Linked DNA regions of Saccharomyces cerevisiae S288C. Changing the gene in region 1 together with any one later gene gives a genetic interaction. Each region holds a gene or a part of one and is shown on either strand. Other genes may lie near its edges.

The links.
Region 2: mutations in ICY1 (region 1) and DPC29 together harm fitness more than expected from each alone (negative genetic interaction), as found in Saccharomyces cerevisiae (2 studies listed by BioGRID).

What each region holds. Positions count from the first base shown.
Region 1 is NC_001145.3:652,062-654,934, forward strand, and holds ICY1 (Icy1p), read left to right. Parts: upstream 1-1,972; coding exon 1,973-2,356; downstream 2,357-2,873. Other genes in the region: CMC4 (Cmc4p), read right to left, coding at 533-714, 787-826. UniProt on the Saccharomyces cerevisiae protein: Required for viability of cells lacking mtDNA.
Region 2 is NC_001139.9:525,777-529,272, forward strand, and holds DPC29 (post-initiation translation factor DPC29), read left to right. Parts: upstream 1-1,855; coding exon 1,856-2,728; downstream 2,729-3,496. Other genes in the region: UGA1 (4-aminobutyrate transaminase), read left to right, coding at 1-868; VMA7 (H(+)-transporting V1 sector ATPase subunit F), read right to left, coding at 1,197-1,553; MTL1 (Mtl1p), read left to right, coding at 3,488-3,496.

The DNA.
Region 1 (2,873 bases):
ACTGAGCTGATAGTCGTTACCAACCCTACATTTTTTTTCTGAAGCAATATAAGTGTTACCCGAAAAGTATGAATATTATTTTTTCTTCGTACCGTTATATCTTTTTCTGGTATATAAAGCGGTGAGTTTAGAAGAAGTTCCTGTGGTGCAAGAATCTTTATTGGTATTTAAAAAATCTTTTCTTTTCCTTTTTTTGGTTTTTTGAAAAAGGGTAATAATGTCTTTTATAATAGACACCCAGAGTCACGATTCGTCTTGGTTTTAGAGATTCTGTTTCGACAGTTTTTTTAGGCGGTGGACGTATATAGTTTACTTAATCGTTTACTATACGGTGGAGTACTAATACTATTTCACTGTCGTGCTCGCGGTTGATCTTAGATAAATATATTTCTTTTTCATAAAGAAAGTGAGTGGATCTTCCCTGGAAGTACGAATAATGTACTTATGATTAGATTCTCTTCACGCACATACCTTTTTTTTTTTTTCAATTGCTAGTTCATACATACGTAGAAAGAAGGGCCAATTGGAAGCCTCAACTGTCCCCTGGTGTAAGCTTTCGCTGTTTCATCTTCAACTCAAGAAGCGAAGGTAGCGGACAGCAGGGTGACCGTGAATCTTTTCCATTGTCATTGTAAAATTTTGAGCAGCAGATGTACAGCTGATCTATAACTTTAGCGCATTTAGCATCATCGTACTGATGTGATAGAAGGCAATCTAAAATTAATGTGAAAAAACGTTAGTGAAAAGAAAAAAACGATCGAATCTTTTGAAGTTAATATTACAAACCTTGGATGGCGCAGGCCTCCTTCTGGCATGGATTAGACATATTTACCTCTTATTTGAACAAATCTCAACAACTAAAAAAACGCTCAATATCTTGGAAAAAAAGAACAGTAATATTCTGTCTCTCCACACCCTCTTCTGAACTCTCATATACACCCCATGGGTGAAAAGTAATATCCGTAAAAGTCTCGCTAACGGATGACGTTAACAACGCACGCCCGCTCCTTGCGAAATTTATTGTGGGGACGTCGTTCACGTGCAAAAGTCGCCAAATATTAGCGACGGGCAACATCGGAAAAACTCTGCGCCCGCGATTCCGATTGAGATGTGTAATTTGTAGTATTGAACGTGACAGGAAACAAAAAATATCAAAACGCTAGCAAGGTTTAAGGGGAGGGGTGAAGAACGAACGATAGGATACTGCACAAATCAGCAATTAAGAAACAATATACAAAAACCCCCAAAGTGGTCATGTTAAGGAGGGCATTTTTCCGCATGGAAACGAAACGTGGGCATGACGTGGAAGCGATGATCCGAGCGCTTCTGCTACTGTGGTGACCACCGTACCAAAGGAGGGGTAATAAGACCCTGTGCCCTTTGCCAGCATACGTGTTACCCCCCTCAAAAAGAGCTGGCTGTTCGAGCTAGCTGCTCTTTCTGTTGCCATTCCCGTACCAAGAGCGCCCCGTAGCTCGATTTTCAGCACCTTGGTGGATATCAGGGGAATTTTACCGCCGCAAGCGATCAGCGTAGAGTGCGCACAGAAAACAGACAGAAATGACTGAAGCGGATGAAAAAAAATTTTCTGGCGCGGCCCAATCTCCGCGGAAGAGTCATTCCGTGAAATGAAAACAAAAGACGCGCATAGTAGGAGAAAGATTATGCAGCTTGATAGCGGGTTATCATACCAGCGTTAATGACACCTTCAAGTGGGTAAAGTACCCTTTGTTATCGTTTTCTTGGCTACGCGGATAGACTAATTTAATTGATATATATGTAGCTAGACACGTTCATAATTTTTATGCTCTAGTGCATGTGCCTCTTACTCATTATTGTCAAAAATTTTTGCATGTAATATTTGTTTTCCGTAGTCATTCAGCACTAGCCTGTTTGTTAATATATATAGATAGACAAACTAATGACAAGGAGAATTGAATTTCTCATATAACACATACAATAAAACCAAGAAATGTCTTCAAACTATGCCACTCCTTTAGACGATGAGGTGTTTCCCTTATCTTTTGCCAATTATCAATTTACCGAGCATGTGTCACTTGGTGAGCATTATTCACTCAATACTTCGGAAGATGCCAAATATAATAATTTGAATGGTCCTTTCGTGGTACCGAGAGACACCGGGAAGTTCGATTTGAACACAAGTTCTGCCTCGGACGAGACTGTGTTCTCGTTAGATAACCCTCAAGAAAACAACTACAAACACCAAGCCATGAATAACGTCCAGGATTGTCGCATGGCCGTCGCGGCCAAAACTACCCAGTCGTGTGATAAATTGACCGATCTTTATGCCAATGCCGCCCAACAAAACTACAGATTGTGGCTGTCTTCATTTTAGAATAACGATTAAGGAATGATAATCAAAAGAAAAAAACAATCTACCTACATATATATGCACTCAACATACATAAATACACACGCATTATTGTTTCTATAAACTTCCAACAGACAATATTCCCATACAAACATCAACTAACTGATTTCCTCTTCATACGCGTTCGCTTCACGTGATGTTCCTTTTCCATTGAAAGGAGAGCTCATCACAAGAGTTACAATGGGAGTGGCGGCGCACCGTCTGCTGACAAGAATAAGTGTAAGACCAGCTACCGGAAGAAAAAAGAAAATAAAATGGATACTCTGTGTCTCCGAATGCCCCTATTTGTTGTATCCATTGATTGTTATCCTGTCTTCTTCTTTCTTTAGTTTAAATCTTTAGCGATTCAGATCCAATTGAACAAAAAAAAGGCTAGATCAAAAATAAGGGGTAAAACATCATCTTGCGGGGCTAACCCAGATCAAAAGCGGCAAGCCAAGAAAACCTGTTTGATAACACTGTAATATATATATATATATAT
Region 2 (3,496 bases), on another chromosome or scaffold:
ATCGTTCAAGAGAGCGTTCCACGGTAGATTGTTTGCCTCCGGTTCCACAACTTGTTCTAAACCAATTCACAAGTTGGATTTCCCAGCCTTCCACTGGCCTCATGCTGAGTATCCATCTTACCAATACCCATTAGATGAAAATTCTGATGCAAACCGTAAAGAGGATGACCATTGCTTGGCCATTGTTGAAGAATTAATCAAAACCTGGTCTATTCCAGTTGCTGCCTTAATCATCGAACCAATTCAATCTGAGGGAGGTGATAACCACGCTTCTAAGTATTTCTTACAAAAGCTAAGAGACATTACCTTGAAGTATAACGTTGTCTACATCATAGATGAAGTGCAAACAGGTGTCGGAGCCACCGGTAAGCTATGGTGTCATGAGTACGCCGATATTCAACCACCTGTGGATTTAGTGACCTTTTCCAAGAAATTCCAAAGTGCAGGATATTTCTTCCACGACCCTAAATTCATTCCAAACAAACCATACAGACAATTCAACACATGGTGTGGTGAACCTGCAAGAATGATCATTGCAGGTGCCATTGGACAGGAAATCTCCGACAAGAAGTTGACTGAACAATGTTCAAGAGTAGGTGATTATTTGTTCAAGAAATTGGAGGGTTTGCAGAAGAAATACCCTGAAAACTTTCAAAACTTGAGAGGTAAAGGAAGAGGCACATTCATTGCCTGGGATTTGCCTACTGGTGAGAAGAGAGACTTACTATTGAAGAAATTGAAGTTGAATGGTTGCAACGTTGGTGGATGTGCAGTCCATGCAGTGAGATTAAGACCTTCATTAACATTCGAGGAGAAGCATGCTGATATCTTTATTGAAGCATTAGCCAAATCAGTTAATGAATTATGATTGTATATTAGCGAGGCCGTGTCACGTTCCCTTTTTTGGTCTTTATATATGTGTATCTTGTTATAATTTTAAAGAAAAGTTTTATATTACTCATCAGTTGTGTGTGAAAAATATGGGCGGGTATTCACAATAGGAAAAAAAAAATGGGTTTGGTGACTGCAGTAAAGACGTGCTAAAAAAAAAAAAGTTGTTTTTATCTGAACCTTAAATATATCATTTATGAGTGTATATATTATACAAACGCAATAACAGTGGCTCCCGCCCTCCACCTCCGCCTGCTACTAGTAATCTACCAGTAATTGTGTTTGTTTTGGGAAAGATCGTTCGCTTACTCACCGAACAACTTTCTGACTCTCTTCAATACAGAGTCCTTTTCAGGGTCGTAGGGATGATCTTTAGATGGAATTTCTAAAATAGCAGGGAACGCATTGGTGAAGGAGTCCACTCTAGCTCTTATGTTTTCCGCGATATGTTGGTTGATTAGAAGGATGGCAATATCGTCTCTCTCTTCAGTAAAGTGATTAAACTTGTCAGTGATTTCCTCCTTAGTAGTCTTACCTTCTTGGTAAACAAAAAAGTTCTTTTCTTGGGTTTCAGGAGTGATTTGTCCAATCCCGGCTAACAATAAACCAGTTGTAGTATCTTCGTCAGCTATCACAGCTATAAGAGTACGTTTCTCAGCCATGATTTAGTTACTATGCGTCAGTGAGACTAGCTATGAATATAGAAATGTAGTGCTCTATTTTCTTAATTCTTTGTCAACTCGATATAATAAATGTAGTGCTTGCAATTCACGTTGGTTTTCCTGTTATCGTTCGCCTTTATTTTTTTTTTTTCTTTCGTTTTCCTACTTCCCTTTACCGGCGTAAGCGCAGTGAAATTTTTTTAGTACGCACGTACGCAAGTTTCAGCAGCAATAAGGGGAAAGATGATGATAATAACTAAGAAAAACAGCAAACTTGGTATGAACGCATCAAAAATTGGAAAATGTTGGTAAGAAATAGGTATCTGGGTGAACTGCTCAAAAACTCTCGATCGTTTAGTGTGCTGAATTCCTCGGTACGTTCAGGTCACAACAAATGGTCAACCATCAAGCACGGTAAAGCCAAGAATGATGCGGAACGAAACAAAATTAATAACAAGTTTGCAAACCAGATAGCAATGTCAGTCAAGTTAGGCAACGGTATTACGGATCCGAGCATGAATATAAGATTAGCCACCAGCATCGAGCTAGCAAATAAAAACAATGTCAGCAAAAAAGTTATTGAGAACGCCATCCGGAAAGCTTCTGGAAGCAGCGCATCGGGCAAGGACTCAAACGCTTCTGAGCTATGTGTATACGAGGGAATGGGGCCCGGCGGGGTCGCTATAGTGGTGGAAGCGCTGACAGACAACAAGAACAGGACCATAGGTCTGATAAGGAGTGCATTTAATAAAGCTAATGGATCGATGACTCCAACGTTGTTTTTCTTCGACAAAAAAGGATACGTTACAATGGTACCTCCGAAGATGTTAGACACTGAGGACAAGGTGCTAGAAAGCGTACTGGAGATTCAAGGCATCGAAGACATTGCGCCTGTGCAGGAAGACGCAGAAGATTTAGAGTGTGATACCGAAACTGAAACTACAGGCCAAACTTACGAGGCGGTGATGGAACCTGCCGATACCAATAAGGTGGCCGCCCTACTGAAGGAGCGTGGTTTCCACATCAGAGACTTGGGCATCGGCTACAATGCCAAGCCGGATATGGAAGTTTTCGTGCAAGGCGATGAAACGCTCGAGAAACTACAGAAACTGACCACAGCGCTCGAGGACATCGACGAAGTGACGTCGTTGTACACTAACGCTAGCAACGCTTAATCCAACCAAACCGTAAATAAATAATCAATACCACAAATACCTGTATATACTAAACAAACAGTAGTAATAACTGTAATAAAGAGTAAAAACAACAACAAAGACAATCGTACGTAAAAACACCAAGCGGACACCAGCACTTGCCTGCTGCGGACTGTTGTCTGCGGACTGGCGGGGGTCGAGCAAGAACCGACGAAGTAACCGACGGAAGGCGGGCGGAGACGGAGACGCAGCCGAGATCTATTTTTACTCAGCGGTAATATTAGATCATGGCTAGGGGGATCTGGAAGTACAATGATGTGCTCTCCCCCTCTCAAACACAACACCAGGATGAACTAAGGGCTCATCTCGAAAGTCGAAGGTGCCTCATTCAGGTTATTAGTGGTGCCTGTTGTGTCTTCCATGAACAAGGAGCACTTAATTACTTGTTGTTGCATGAGATATCATTTTTTTTTTTCCCTCTTTCTTGGGGTCTTGACAGTCATCAAATCGAAGTTTTTAGTTTTTCTTCTTCGGGAAGATCAATTTTAGGTAGAAAAGTGTAGATGAAAAACGAAGGATACTGCTATTTACTGTAAGTACTCTTCGGTCCATATTGGAAGACCAAGGCATAATAAGGATATATTCCGAGGAGATAATTGGGATATAATCCTCCATTGCTTCCGAAATTTGTTTAAACACTTCTAGTTCATTTCGGGTTGGTTCGATCTTCGTTTCCACTTTTAACTTACTCCCAGTTAGTATAATATAAGTAGTTAAGGTATGGCAAGC